Linked DNA regions of Drosophila melanogaster. The gene in region 2 interacts genetically with the main gene of each other region. Each region holds a gene or a part of one and is shown on either strand. Other genes may lie near its edges.

What was found. A genetic interaction does not mean that the proteins touch.
Region 1: of 5-HT1B (region 2) and cry, changing one suppresses a phenotype caused by changing the other (phenotypic suppression), as found in Drosophila melanogaster (one study listed by BioGRID).

The regions. Positions count from the first base shown.
Region 1 is NT_033777.3:19,208,473-19,217,136, reverse strand, and holds cry (cryptochrome), read right to left. Parts: upstream 4,984-8,664; 5' UTR 4,797-4,983; coding exon 4,655-4,796; intron 4,579-4,654; exon of another isoform or gene 4,410-4,578; intron 3,654-4,409; coding exon 3,310-3,653; intron 3,154-3,309; coding exon 2,234-3,153; intron 1,998-2,233; coding exon 1,775-1,997; 3' UTR 1,695-1,774; downstream 1-1,694. UniProt on the Drosophila melanogaster protein: Blue light-dependent regulator that is the input of the circadian feedback loop. Has no photolyase activity for cyclobutane pyrimidine dimers or 6-4 photoproducts.
Region 2 is NT_033778.4:19,028,106-19,035,783, reverse strand, and holds the start of 5-HT1B (5-hydroxytryptamine (serotonin) receptor 1B), read left to right. Parts: upstream 1-3,141; 5' UTR 3,142-3,744; intron 3,745-5,533; exon of another isoform or gene 5,534-5,594; coding exon of another isoform or gene 5,595-5,762; exon of another isoform or gene 5,763-5,775; intron 5,776-6,538; 5' UTR 6,539-6,847; coding exon 6,848-7,166; intron 7,167-7,678. Other genes in the region: CG15115 (uncharacterized protein), read left to right, coding at 1-292; CG43351 (uncharacterized protein), read right to left, coding at 5,595-5,762. UniProt on the Drosophila melanogaster protein: This is one of the several different receptors for 5-hydroxytryptamine (serotonin), a biogenic hormone that functions as a neurotransmitter, a hormone, and a mitogen. The activity of this receptor is mediated by G proteins which inhibit adenylate cyclase.

The sequences.
Region 1 (8,664 bases), on a different chromosome or scaffold from region 2:
GCAAACAGTTGCCTTTCATGGGTTAGCTTGAATGATTTATGAACCGCTTGCGAGTGGAGTTAGCTGTGATCTACGATTGCATTACAGTCCATCTGGCTGCGAAGAATAACAACTTCATATTGTAATGGGAATTGCCCAAGATTATTTGTTATTCCATTTTCGAACAGTTTTCAAAGACACCAAACAACACTAGATAACTGCCAATATCTGAAATGCCCAAACAAGAGGAATCCTTGAATTAAACCACCTTAGATACACCGCACTCTTCTGCTATAGCCACATATCCTGAAAGTCGCCTCGTACTTTTTACTATCTGCCTACGTAGTTCTGCTCAAACAAAGAAATAGCTCTTGAAGTCTATGTAAAATTAATGATCTATCTATGAAACGTCCATTTTGAAGCTATAACCTCTATCAAAGCCAAAAATATTGAAAGCTTTTAACGTAATCAATCATTAGTGATGCTATATTTTCATGATCTTAAAACACACAAATGAGCGAACAGGTGCCCAGTAGAATGAGAAATTAAACAGCAAGTGAATTTAATTGAACCTCATAGGCTTAAAGCAGTCAGCTAGCACTATATGGTACTGGTAGTGGGGATTGTAGATGGGCTGGTTGGGAAATCCGGGGGCTTTTAACAAGTATTGCATACGAAATGGGGACAAGCAGCATTTTATTTTTATAGCCAATCGGTTCGAACACACAGACATCCACTTAGCACACCGAATGCATCTGCATCAGCACAATACTATACATTTGTACATACATACAGAGAGGACACTTGAAGCTGGGGAGAGTACTTAAAAAATATAATATTGATAAAAGTATAATGCGTTACGAGATATTCCATAAAGTATAAATTGCATCAAATTGTTATTTTCTGTGAGTTCTCGTTCCTTCCTTGTTCGTTTGTTGATTGAATTGGTTGGTTCCATTATTTATTCAGCTATCGTATATTACGCAATGTGTGTGTGTGTGAAATTTACATTTACCAGAAAAATAACTTTTTGCCAAGCAACGCTCTAAATGTTTACTCGAATTTACTTCAACTAATTCGCAGGATGTCGAATGTCTAAAACGAATGCTTACTTCCTACAAAGGACTATTGCGATTAAGTCGCTGGTAGGGGAATGAGCGAAAAGCTCGGCGTGGTCGAGTTTAGATTTTCTCAAACTTTATTTGTAGCAAACTGTCGAGGGACTCAAACTTCAACAATAACTCCTTTTAGGTCCCATCAACCCCTACCAATATCTCATTCGAAAGGCACACATCTAGAAGGAACACCAAAATTTAGGCATTAAAATAAAATATACACAACAATTTAGACAAATTATAAAGATAGAATCTCTCATTAAACGAAAGGCAAACGAAGCCAGGATCAATAGATCGACATAAAATAAATTTCAATATTTGAAATACTTCGCGTTCAATTTTTCTCGTATGAAAGACCCAATTAAAAGCAAAAACTATTTAATTAATGCTGTTAATTAACGTATAATTTGACAACGTAATACAGATGATAATAATAATTATATATATATACACCATAAACGATTTTTAAAATAAGCTGAATAAAATTGATATATGAGTAACACGTTATAAGCTGTTAAAAGTAAAACGAAACCAAATAAAACGGATACAAATTGTATTGTAGTACTTATTTTAATTGAAGAAAATAAAGCATTATTAATTATATATAATATTTCACTGGTAATAGTTTCTTTATTGTGAAATCGAATTAAAATTGGATTGGTCATCCCACTTGTACTCCTTCAAACCACCACGTCGGCCAGCCAGAAGAACTGACGCACTTCCTCCTCGTTGGATGGTCGGCAATGCGGCGGCGGGGTGATCAGCGAATTTCGGAGAGACTTCATGGCCAGCATGTTTCGCTTTACGGCCATGGACAAATCAATGATCCGCTCCGGATAATGGACTCCGATCAGGCACTCGTACTGCTCCTGCTGCTCGGCAGACATTCGCCAGGGCTCGTGACTGAAAATATAAAATGGGATTTATAATTTAAAAAATATAACAAAAGCACGAATAAACGAATTAAAAATATATATAGTTCAAATGGTTGCTTGAGATTGTTGAACACTTTAACGAATCATAAGTAAAGACGACAAAGGAGTCATCATATATTGCGTATACGACAAGTATACCATCAGTATTTTTATTATATCTAAGTACTTAAATTGTTATATGGAATTTTCATTATATAAACTTACACAAATTCCTTGGGCACATTCATCAACTCCGGGACGTACTGCTTGATGTAGGTGCCATCCGGATCAAGTCGCTTGGCCAATGCCACCGGGCAGGTGACCAGGGAGGAGTCCAGCAGCCTTTCAAACGCCGAGCTGGATACCCACATCCAGTTGCCAGCGCAGACCGACCAATCCGCATCCAGCAGATACTTCAGAAAGTGCTGCAGTCCATGCTCCCAGCTCTGCCACAAACCGCCGCGCGTGAGAAAGGTGGCCACGGTGTTGCGCAGCGTATGGTGGAGCCATCCCTCGGCCAGGAGTTGTCGCATGGCGCCGTCGATGAGCGGGAATCCCGTTTGGCCTAAACGCCAGCTCTGCAGGAGATTTTCGTTCGGCTTAGCCCACGGGATGCTCAGGCAGATGTCATTGCCCTCCATGCGATCGTAGTTTGGATTGTTCACCGACATGGTGTAGAAGTACTCTCGCCAGATCAACTGTCCCGTGATGTGCGCGCCGCCAGTCATCTGAACGCCCCGCACACAGGCGCGCAACTGGACATTCTTGAAGAGATCGTGGACGCTCCAGTAGAAGCGACGTACCGAAAGGCAACCAAAGCGCAGATGGGCGCTCATCGATTTTGGCGAGTCGTGGATATTGGGCAGTGCCTGGTTGGGCAGATAAAATCCACGCTCAAACGCATGCTGCTCCACTTTAAGACGCTCATCCAACAGAAGTAAGGCCTGTGTTTCTCCGCCGCGCCAGTTAATCTTGGCCAGGAAGCCCATGTTGTCTCCATACACATTGAAGTGCTCCGGCGTGGGCAGCTGCTCGAACAACTTAAGACTTCGGCAGAACTCGGGGTCCAGCTCGACAAAGGTGGCGTCTTCTAGTCGAGCATCGGCGGTGGGACGCGGTGGAAGCCCAATAATTTGCACCGTGTGCTAAAACATAATAAAATAAACGAAAATATAATTTGATGTAAATAATTAGTATCTTTCAGTGACTATATAATTTTCAGATAGTTATATTTTTACATTTATTTTAAAGATATATTCTCAAAAGAATATTATAACTAGAGAACTGAGCTTTAAACTCACCAGGAACATTTGGTAGGTCAGCGGTGGAATGCCACCATTGGTCTCAATCACCAATTGCGGATCCCAAAGCGTGTGTGATACCTTCTCGACAAAGTCGATATTCAGCTCCCGACATAGAGAACGGATGCTTTCATCGCGCTCATTCCAAATTGGCTCGCAGTCCTGCTCTATGCAAATCCTGTGCAGACGCACTTGCTCATGTAGCCGGCGGAAGATATAAGCCGGTTCGCCCTCGAAGACCAGGAGGCGTCCACGTCCATCAGTTGCCGCCTGTAGCTGATCATCGATGTCCTGCAACGAGTCCAGGAGGAAACGCATCCGATTGTAACCCACATTCTTGGTACCTGTTAAGGAAGAGCATTTAACGGTTTTATAAGATTTATAAATTTAAAAAAAATTATGCATTTTCAAAGTTTTTTCGTGCACAATTTTCGCAAAACTAGGAATTCAAAACAAGTTTGTGTGTTTAAGTGCCACCTTTTAGATAAATTTTCAGCTTTTGTGCAAACAAATGGTTCAGTTTAGCCCATTTTCCATTGTAATATTTGTTTTCACGCTTTTACCCACAAAACGACGCTTATCGGTCAAGTGATGGGTTCTATAGGTATCCCCGTTTCTCGCCGACTTTTTCCGTGAGCGAGCTGTTTAAACACAAGCATTATACTGCTATTCTGGTTTGCACTCAATGTCTCTACCCATTTTGCATTGTCTTTCTATATCTCTCTCCCAGCGATTCGACGGAAAATTCTCAAAACCGCCAGCCACAAATGGCATTAGGGCGCATCGTTTGTTTTGCTCTACCATGCAAAAGTGCATTAGGTTTTCCCTCCATTTTCCGCCCCTGCAGCTCTCGCCCTCTTTCCATTTTCACAAGCAGCGAAAACGCTGAATTCGCAGCGGTCGCGGAAAGAGGTGGTATGTGATAACCGATGCAAGTCGCAAAAAATGATATTAGCTCATACGGAGAATGAGCGTGTAATAGCAATCAAACTAAAAGTATTTATTTTAACCCTCTGTTGCCAACGGTTTTTTATTTTAATTTTGTTGAATTTTCAAACTCTTTCCAAAAATCTATTTTTACACAAACTTCTGATGATTTTGTATGAGCAAATATATATAGATATAATATTTTATCTTTGATGTTTTGCTATCTATTAATTATTTTAAGATTATCTTAATATTTTAAATATATCTCCATGAGATATCCATATCTCATATAAAAGTTTTGAAGTAATAACTTAGGAAAGTGCAAGGTAAGTTCAAGGTTACCTGTAATCAATTTAATTTGGATACCTACATGTATGTGTGCGCAACGAAATAAAATTTTCGAAAACTCAGTTCTTACCTGCACTCTCTCCATCGAATATGAAAACGGGAATTAGGGCTATACCCTGATCCTTATCGGCGAGGGCGGCCAATAGAGCGGGATTATCATGGAGGCGCAATCCATGGCGAAACCAAATCACATTCGCCCCTCGCGTGGCCATCAGTGAGGAGTTCCCTGCTTTTGGGCTTCAAAAATCTCCCGAATCCCAGTTTTGATCGGGAAGAACAGTTTTCCAGCTGATGAAAAGATTTTCTTTTTTCCGCACTCACGATTCGCTCGCGCCGGCAACTAATTGACGAATGAGAATGTGAATGCGAAATTTGAGTGCTGAGAACGTTTCTACAACTGCAGCTCAACGTTCCCCGTGTTCGGCGTTATAAGCTAAAATGAATCGCATAAGTACGGTGAGTGCAACAGAGATGGCGAGAAAGAGACCTGTGGGAACCGCACACTGAAAAAAAGTACTTACTTCCATATATTATATATATTATAACCAAAGTTTAAGTTGGGCAAAACCAAACGCAGGCTAAAACTAAGAGTGTTCTATAACATCCAAATATCGTTTTTGTTTTTGTTATTGTTTATATTTTGAATTTCTATGCATATTTAGTATTAAAACTCGTTATAATGGCTGCGAGAAAAGATTCGAGAGTTGATAAGGATTTTGCGGACATGCATATTTTCTCCCAGTGTAGAAGCGTGTACTGTGAATCGGTAACTAGAAACAGCCCGTTCAAGTGCGTCAATACAAAGCTGTCGATCTGTATGTGTGTGTGTGTGTGTGTGCGAAGGGGCGACTGTGTGCTTGGGTGCTTGTGTGAGCATAAGTGTGGCACTCTGCCCACGGTTGCCTGCACTTCTAGCTCTGCGCCGAGAACGAGCCGAGCCCCCACCCCGAATCGACCCCCAGCTGACTGTCCCACCCCTTCTTCCCTTCGCTCTCACAGTGGGGCACTGCGTTCTGAGCACACAGAACCAGAAACTGAACCCAACTGTTGCCGCTTATGACGTGACGAGCTTTTGCAAGCACTCAACTCTGCAGTGGGATCGAGATGGGCTGTTTGCATGCTTATACTTATCACTTTGAAGTAATAATTACCTATTTGGGTATATTTACTTGGTTGTTTATTATGAGTAAATACATTTAAGTTTAAATAGTTATAAGATTTATTGATTATTTGATTTGTGCTGTGCAGACATTCATTTGTAAAGCAAGTAAGTATCGCCCTAACTACAAAAGTAGGTTAGCCCATTCCTGGTTAGTTCTTCTACAAATTATACTGGAAATAGCTATTTTGGTAAGAAAAAGATGAAGATGGAAGATGAGCAATTCTAGATACCAGTATTCTCCTATCAATATTTCGAAAAACCAAATACACTTGAACATATAATAGAGTAGCTAATATTCGGTAGTGACGCACTTTTTGGTTATGGTCCTGCATTGGCATAGTTAGTTAACCCGAGCATGGGCCACAGCTCCTTTGCCAACTTTGAGTGAGCTTTTCCCCCATAAAAAAAAATCCCCGCACGTCGAATACCCAACATCGCTGGACAGTCCCAACGAGCCTTATTGTGAGTAAACTACGCACTTGCATCACAAAAACTTTAGCATTGCACATTGCATGTTGCCTAGACAACGACAACGACACCGACAGCAGCAGCAGCAGCAGCAGCAGCAGTAAAAACAAGAACAAGGACCAAATGGAGGCAACGTGCGTAACGGAATGTCAACTGCAAAGCTCGCCGATGCACGTGTCCTGGCAACAACAACAACGACAGGCGCTGCTTGCAACAATCGGGCGAGGAATTCAAATGATGACGACGACGATGATGAGCCTTCTGTGGCTGGACTATGGCCAAAACCAGGATTATAAGGGGGCGGGGGAAAGGAACAGTGGCAGAGGCAGAGTGAAACAGGGTCAAATGAACAATGAAGTGAAGTCGAAAGGTTTTGGACAAAAGAATTTTTCTTGCCTTGTTAGCTTTTATGAAACTAATTTACGTTCCTCGGTTGGGATTGAAATTTCGGAAATTTAAAGATTGAGAATAGCAAATACAATTACTTATACTCAAAGAACTCATATTGCTCATACGCCAGGTGGGTTTCTATTCACAATTTTCACTTCATTGACATGGACATTTTCGTATAGTTGGCATTTAATTTACGTTCAGGTCGAACTTTTCCAATAGAACTTGTCCCTTGCAAAGGAATACCCACTTACCCATACGCCAGGTGGTACCAATTTTTACAAAGTTCTCACCATTTCCTCGAAATTGAATTTTTTATGATTACGGACAGCCTTTCATAGTTTGTTCTGTGAAAAATTACTGAACATTGGCTGATAAAATGTCATGTAGAAAATTAAATATGATTTCTCATAAACCAGATGGGACCACTCGTTGAAAGGGCTTTTACTTTTTCAATCGCCGCTGCTTTACCATAGTTTCCATTGTGCTTGGAAAAGATCCTGTATCCTGCGAATTGCATTTGTAAATTGTGATGGAAAACTCCCTAATACTCCTGTGTCTGGTGGGACCATGCCCTCAAAGGGATTTCCTTTATTTAGTGCAGCTGCTTTCCCAAGGTTTCCTTCTCGGAAAGCAAAATGTTCAGCCATTGTCGGGTTATCCCATGCCATAATTTATCTTTCAGCCAGCAAGTTCCCAGTTCAGGTGCACTGGATCTTCCGTTGAACTGCCGGGCACAGGCTGCTAGTTTCATTCTTTCGCTCAACACGTCACCAAGGACTTGAGGGGCATCCTTTGTGCAATCAGCAGCAGCACATACCGCCCACACCGTCTCTGTGTTTGTGTTGATGCTTCGCTACATTACATGATTGCCAGGCTGTAGATTGCAGCTTGTTAGTGAGCAGTGTTGGCAGATGAAGATTCCTTAACCAAGATGGGTCAGCGGAAATGGTGAAAAAATGCAGTCATATTTGGTTATTGTATTAAAGCATTCTCCTTTTTTTTAATAGATATTATATTTTATACCCATTTGCAGTTTGTTGAATGCTATCTACAACAATGTTCTACTATTTGGTCATTATATCATATTCCTTTACCAATATGAGGTATATTAACTTAATTAAACATGAAATTTATAATAAGGGAATGTATTTATCACTTCTTTCATAAGGAAAAATACAGATAAATGAATGTCATCGCTGTTGTTGAAGATTGCATTCCCGTTGTCTCCTCGCCTGCGTAATTTTCCTTTGGAGTATTTACGGACAATATGTAACAATTTATGTTATACGACCTCCATTTTACACATTTCAAAGGATGTAGCCCTCTCGCACACAGGCAATCGAGTCTGCAACGCAATCCATCACACTTTTGTTGTCGGGTTATGAAATCGAATTTCTTGTTGAGTGATACCGACAGGCTGACAATGTCAGATTGAAGTCGCTGTTGGTTGCATGTGTACACAATTAAATGAATAATCATTGCACACATTAAGCTTGACAGAAACCTGACAAATGCCAAAATGTCCCTATACTAAAACCGTACTCGCAGGCACACATTCATCTCCGTGTTAAAGGGAATTTTCTGTCCAAAAGGAGATTAAGCTGCCCAAACCAGAGTAAGTTGTCAAAACAAATCCCAGACATCCAAGTCCTTAACTTAACCGTATGACGTTAGCAATGGAAGCCAAAAAAGCAAAACCTTAAAACAGGTTTTAAATAATTACGTTTTGTAATGAAACAAATGTTGTAAGTCTCTCTCATTAGCATTATGAATATTTTTAACTTTCTCTCATTTTACAAAAAACTCACTCTACAATTAAGTTGCCTTCTACCTCGTTTGCACGACGAAAGACTCTTATAAAGGTGTGTATGTCCAGTGCTTTCCCTAGCAAATCCTTTTTTCCCTAGCAACCCCTTTCAGTATTACTTTTATTCCCTTTTCTGAGTAAGTCCTGCTCGTCGTCCTTACTGGCTTTGCTAATACAAGGTAAACAAACAGTCAAATATGTCAATTATACGCACCATTGGATCCTTTGTGCCGCCCAATCCTATATACAC
Region 2 (7,678 bases):
AAGAGCTGCTCAGAAGGATGAGAACGAGTTGCTAGCAAGGAATCAGGAGGAGAAGTCGCACTTGGAACAGAGAAAGCTAGAAAGCGATCGTGAAATGGAGGAATTAAATCGCAAAGCCACTTTAAAACTGGCTCAGCTCGAGGAGGAGGGATCCCTGTCCACACAGGAGATAGCACCCACAGCACCCGAAGAGGAAAATCTCGATTCCAGCATTTTCCTTATGCCAGATTTTCCCGGACCTTCAGCTCCGCCAGAAAGCATACTCTCCATCGAGCCGGATTTCTGCTATTAGATCAATGATATAGTTGCCTCCGGCGATCAACAGAATGATTAATCATTCCCTTGAATAGATAGCAATAAGTTTTACATTCGCTGGCAGTGCAACATAAACAATCTAAATGGAAGTAAATAACATTTTCACTTGACCCCCAAAAGTCTGACCGCAACTTTTGGCAACAAAAGCCCAAAAACGAAGAACAACAAACAAACAAATGGAAGAAAACTTGACTTAACTTTTCCGACGGGGCTTTGCCATGGAATGGGGGTTTCCTCTGTTGGATAAGGGATTACGATCAAAGCGTTCGATTGAGTGTGTCAATAAATTCCTGCCAGTCGACCGAGTGTAGAACATTTGTCCGGCAGCGGCGATAAATAGTTGCCACACGCTTTCGTTGCCCAGGAAAAATCCAAAAGAGACAGATCCCTTTTGGCCGGAAAGTTTCGTGTGAATTTAGTGCGGCTCATTAAGCCGGACAGTGTCAGTCATGTGTGTATGTTTGTCCTGCTGCCCGGCCAGCGGATGCCGGACCAGTGGGCCAATGGATTTCGGTTCAAACTTCATTAAGCTGGCAAAAGGAAATTGCCGGGCCATTGTCATTCTTATTCCCATTCCCATTCCCAGTACCACTCCTGATCCTAGTGCCATTCTCACTGTCACTGCAGTAGACTTCCTTTAATAATGGCCTACCGGGCATTTGTCAACGGGATGCTTTAGGAGCCGGGCTTTAAATGAGCGCGCTCATTAAGAAAATTAATGTTTGGGATTCATTAAAAGTGTCAAAGTGCGCACATTAAAATTATATAAAACGCCGGGGTGGAGTGACGCCTGTCGTAACGAAGCGAACGTCTCGACTCTTGTCGATTTTATTAACAAAACAAAGCATTAAAGACGCATAAAATGTTGACATAGCACCGCGGCTTTCTTCCTGCCTCCTCATAAAACCGTCTCATATTGACAGCTCAAGGACTTACGCACACAACGTTCCCTTGAATGTGTGTATTGTGTGTACTATACGTACACATATCGTGTATCCTGTCGCAGCATCTCATAAAACTAAACCGCAATTCATCAGTAAATTCCTTTCTACTCTCATGTTTTTGGTTTCTTTGGTTTTTTTGGTCAGCCCATCTGCCGGAGAATATGCTACAATTTTATTCGTCTCGTAAAATGCGAAAAAATTGTTTTTATTATAATTATTATGTTAAGCATGGTGACGAAGCAAGTTTATTGCACTCGCCCATAAAAGTGGCAACTTCGATGAAGTGATGATGCTGTCAAACCTTAGTTGCTCTTCGGTTTTCCCCCAATCGAAAACTTGCTGCTGCTGCTTATCTGGGTGCCATTTATAATGGCAAATTATTTGAGATTTTCGCTTAACTTTTTGCCATTTGAAACAATGACACACGCATTGCAGAAAGTCAACAACCTTCGCCTGGTGCAGTTGCGTTGCGTCCTTGCAATATCCCGCTGTCATTTTGCACTGTTAAAAATGCGAAATTAATTCCTTTAAATGGTTTAATGGACTATAAGATATAAGCTCAGATTTTGTTGCTTTCTGAATAGATTGTATGTATATCCAAAGCTTTTAGCTTTAGTAAAAGCAATTGGTATTTCAAGAATGGCATAGTTTTTCGCTGTGTGTATTGATACAACTCGAAGAGGGGCCGCATGTCACGCACTGGAAAATGCTTAACGCTCCCCAGTACCCACGCATAAACTCGTTCCGGGAAAGGGGGTCCACACAATGAGAGTTTTACGTGCTGGCTGGCTCCGAAGGACGTAGCGTGTACGGTTAAAGTTTCTGGCTCATTAGTATGATGCTTAAAAATATTAAATGTGTGCAACTCGAGGGCATCGCAAAAGCAGCAAGATAGTTAGTTGAGCGCACATTAAGATAGTTCCGGTCATAGAAATAAATTGCAATCCCTTCGGTTCTAATGCCCACAAGAAGTGTGGCTTCAATCAGGGCCCACGCGTCGTATGCGCAATGGCCAAGCAATTGCAACAATCAATGTTATATTGTTGAACAAATACGGTAGGCAAGACTCGATGCCACGAAGCCGCAAGCCACAAAAGGCAGGAAAAAGCATGAAACCCAGGGAAAACCCGAGCTGGCAAATAAATGAAGGCCGTAATTATTGCCAAGGAAAATACAGACGCCGGAACGGGGCCAAAATGTCACGTACTGGCAATAAACCGCTGCTAATTTACGATGCTGCCCGGACTGCTGCTGCTCCTGATCCTGGCCAAAGTCCGAGTCCTGTTCCTACTGCTGCTCGGCAGCCAACAAAAGGCGATACAGCGGAAGTCAAAAGGCAAACGCCTAAGCAGTTTGGCCAACTCGAGAGCTCCGGAATGTTGCGCATTACGGCCGCTGCATAGAAATGGCCATCAAATTGACGTCGGCAAAGAAGGGCGAACCTATCGAAACTGCCAATAACCAGGACAAAGGCCTAATGCGCATTAGCCGCCCTGGAACGTGCATTAGATATATTAAAATCGGCCAAGGATCTGTAGTCCTGGGATACTTGCATTGTTCGCCACTGCGTTTTGTTTGCATCCATTAGCGGGAAACGCACTGGGGCAGAAAATCGTGGACAGAGGATTTTCCCATTTTGCTCGGCTCTAATTTCCAAAAAAAAAAATAATAATAATTGCGTTCACTCTACTCGTACTCGTCGAAACTCAACAGGCAGCAAAGAGTGCTGATTTTCGATTTCGAAAAGCGATTTCTCTTAAATGGAGACTTGCCAGAATTTGCGTATAAGAGAGCGTTCTGAGGCGCCTGCGTTGGAAAAGTCTACAGGAAAATCAGCTGGTTTTCGGCGATTCCATCTACTTCAAAACGGCCACATTGAAGCAGTTTGTCAATAGTTACGCTGAAGACGCGACGCGTCTGCCGAAACGTTTAAGGAAAAGCTCCGAGCATAAAATCTGAAAATTATTCAAATAATTCATATTCGAAACACCCAACGCCGAAGACTGAAAGCCGTAATCAAAACACTGAACTCTGAACGCTAAAAAACGGGTATTAAAAGCTGTTTAAATGTTAAGTGAAGTCCTTATAAACGCGAGTTATTACTAACCTTTTTATTCCGCCTAATTGAATAACCAGACCCGCATAATTAGCGGGGCGAACAAGAACAAAATAAAACCGAGACTGAGTACTAAATGTAAAAAAAAAAGATAAATACAAATCAACCATAGGCGCGCACACAAGCAACGCCAAACGGAAGCTGTATCCCTGTGTGCGTGAGCTTGTGTGTGTGAGGTCCTCAGAAGCTGGGGAACATCATAATCATCTTTATCAGCTGGAGCAGCTTCATATCCTTGGTGGTCGCCAGTGCTGTCGTCATCGTTGTCACATCCCGGCATAAATATTTATGTTGACGAATCTACCTGCGGCAGAGCGTCGCTAATGAAGCGGGCGAAATGAAAATGAAAGGACATAATTATGCTTATGTGTGAGTATAATGAATACGAATTTCATTCCACAAGGCCAGCAGCAGGGAACCACCTGCATACATACATACATACCAACAATGGCTACGAGTGCACTTTGTTCAACGAAAATCGCTGGGGGAATTTTGTGCATTTTCGTTTGTTTGTGCTTTCCGTTACGGTTGAATGTCTAGGACTTCTCCTTTTATTTATTTCCAGCTTCTGTCCAGGTTGGTTTCCCTTCAGAATTGCACTATTCTTTTGGCTTTGGGCTGAGGGGATGTGGCGCTGGTTTATTGGTTCCGAACTTAATCAAGTTCACAGAAATGCAGCACTGGCTGCGGGTTGGAAGTGCAATTAGGCAACTGCATTAGAGAAAACTTTCCGCCGGCAAGTTGGTAACTTGAGTGCAAATTGCTGTCGTCCAATCATCTTCATAAAGTTGGCAGCCATGAACTCGGTGTCTTTGTTTGGTAGCCAATCTATTGTTTCCACTCAGTCGCTAACTGAGTTATGACCCCATTCGGTTTGTTCATATCCACACAGACATATGTGCGGACTTCCATCACACCCAACCCTCTGCTAATTGGTATATTGTACGAGTCATTCTTGTGATCATGACCAAAAGGCTGCTAAAAGATTACGCTGACACAAGTGGAAAAAGAAAGAGCACTGCCAGCAGCAGACATTCAGCAGAACTTTTTGTATATTTATTAGAGTATGAATTAATTCAAGAGTGTATGTGTGTGTGTCTGTGTGTGTGTGTTGGTTGTGGGGAAAGAGTTAAGCCTTCGAGGCATATTCTGAATCAGATTCGTAGAATGGAAAGGGGGCGGGCGGAGGAAAAGCCACCGCAGCCCGACGCGATTTTCCTTTTTCTCCTTGATTTTTTTTTCGACTATCCCCTAGAGGGAATTTTGTTGCAAACGTTAGCACATCTTTTTTTTCACTCCACCCACTATGTATGGCGAATGTAATTCATGTACACGACCTTGTTACATAACAAAAACAAAAAAAAATAAAAAAAAAATAGAAAAATGAATGGGTCTGCGAGACTCGCTTTCATAATTAAAATGCAGAAAGATGTGGCCCAGGGTGGCGACCTCAAGATACCCCGCCAAATACCCAGAGGAAACAATTTATGTTGCGGATTGATTGGTTTTTCATAAACAATGCTTATATATATATAAATATATATATATATAGGGTTTACTGAACTAGATGTGTTAAATCAAGTTCAGCATACTTTAAGGCTGCACAATATATAAATATATATTGTAGATTCTTTTTTTTTTATTATCAAAGCATTTGGATGTGAGCCTTGAACTCCAAACCGCAGCAACATTTATAGTGCTTTTATTATTAGCAGCTTAAGCTGGCGTGCCAAGAAATCCTCTGAAAAGGATGACGATTACCTTGACTATGAAAATATTTCTCACACATGAGCTGCTCGAGCGCATCGCACGGCCCTCGTTCCGTTTCCGGTGCCTCCCATTAGCGTTTTAGTCTACGAGAAAAGGCAAAACCGAAAGGCAGCCACTATTCAGCGAGGGTTGTGCGAAGCGTTCTCGCGAATTCGACTGCAAACGGAGATGGAGACTTCCGACCGACTGCAATCTATCAAACTGCCTTCGCAGCTGTTCAGGTGTTGGTTGACCCGAGTGTTCGCCTCAGACTGGTTAACTGCCTTCACCTGGGGACACACCTTGACACAGACAAAGGTCAGGGCAGATGTGTTGGGCGCCACAAAGGCCAAGTGGCATCCAAACACCCCAGCTACGACTATCCGTAAGTGAATTAAGCAGGAATGCAGATGCCTTCGTGTTACGCTAGTTTATTGTGTTTCTTTTGGAACCCGTTTTAGTTATGCATATCAGTTCCGCTCCAAATTCCTTGGTTGGTTTTGGCCAGGATTACCGTCGTATCTGTCGTATCTATAGGGCTGCCTTAGTTCTCTCGAAAATCCGGGCAGTGGAAGTAGCAGTAGCAGCGAAATCAACAGCAGCAACTGCATCGCAAATCCAAGTGTAAGCGTCAACATTTTGAATAGAACTGAGCAAAACAAGCTGATAGCACAAACAGCGTCAGCAAAAGGGAAATATTAATAGCACACCGCGAAAAACACTATCGATCAGTAATAAGTGGATATCCAAAATAATTATGCAAACTTGAGTGCTGAGATTGAAATATATTTTTGGGAGATAACAATATTTAGGTTATAGATTAAAGCCAGACAAAAATCAATACAAGTTAGATGATAAAATGTCAAATTCGGTCTGGCATTTTATGTGCCATAAAATTTCAGAATGATTTAATATTTTTATACATTTAAAAATTTTAAAATATTGAAACTAACTTAACAATTAATTTTATTATAAAATACTACGTACTACTTGTTTAAATTCAATTTGATAAGCAATCATTCAAGCACGATTTTAAAAGTGTGGCGGATTTTCCCAGCTCCAATCGAGATAAGGATCCTAGGGTCAAGGGGCCGGCTTACAGTGGGTTGGCAGCTTGTAAAAACCCTGTGAAAGAGTTCGCCCGATTGAAATGATTAATTAATTGCTGGAATCGAGGTAAACTGAGCGCGTCCAGACGAGCATCATTTATCACGGTGTGGTCTTAATACGAACGCCAGACCGGCTTCACTTGGGCAAATGGGAAATATAGAGGGGAATTGTGTTATTTTAGGGCGGGCACACATTATGATTTCGTCTACAGCTTTTATTTCTTGTTTTCCATAGACTTTTCCACCATTGTTTGCCATTCATCTCTGACTCTCCATTGACTCTCGCACCGCCCTATGTTTTGCAGTTTACGTGTTAAGTGCTTGGCAAGCACGATTAAGGCGCTTTATCACCCGCAACAACGGCAGCAACACGAACGACAAGCACGCCAGCAACAGCAGCAGCAGCAGCAGAAGCAGCAGCAACAGCAGCAACACCAGCAACAGCAACAGCTGCGACGGCAGCAACATCAAAAGCAGCAGCAGCAGCAGAATCAGCAGCAAGCCATCCGGCTGTAGTCACATACATTGACACGCCCCCAACCCAGATTCATATATAGTCGTACATACATACAGAAATATATAGCCGGATATACATATACATATATACAAGCGAGATGCTGAAAACTGTGACAACAGCAATGGCTGCCGGCGATGACGATGTCCCAGCGAGCATTTTGGAAATAGAACTGCCAGCCATTTTGCTCAACGAGAGCCTCTTCATCGAGCTGAATGGCAATCTCACCCAGCTGGTGGACACGACTAGCAATCTCAGCCAAATCGTCTGGAATCGCAGCATAAACGGCAATGGAAACAGCAACACTTTCGACCTGGTCGATGACGAACAAGAGCGGGCGGCGGTCGAGTTTTGGCTACTAGTCAAAATGATCGCCATGGCCGTGGTGCTGGGACTCATGATACTCGTCACCATCATAGGCAAGTACTTAATCAAAACCAAATCCAAATTTAAATTACCAAAGCGAAAATGCCGTGAGGGGTGGGGGGTGGGGTTTTTGGACATTAAATTATCCTCGAATTTATGCCGTGGGGATATGGCTGCGAAAAGTTTCCATATCGCCGACAAAAACTGAACTGTAAATGAAGTAAAATTTATGATGCAGAAGATTTTTATTGCGCCCTCTTGGAAGATTTTTATTGATTTTTGGGCTTACAGAGATGATTTGCAGCCGCTCGCTCTAAGAAATGGGCCTTTGAAATACCTCGAAAGATGGGTGTCGGGTGCTCAGGGGTGGTTGATTGTTTTGGTTGGCTAGATGATGTACGAGGAGTTCTTTGAGTTAAGCGCGCCGCAAAGATGCCTGCGAAATAGGGAAGGAAAAACGAGGAAAAGTTTCCAAAAAGTGTTTGCCGCGGCACGTGAAAAGCTATTAAAATGGCGCCAAGGCGTCTAATGCAAATTACGACAAGCACACACACTCACACACACT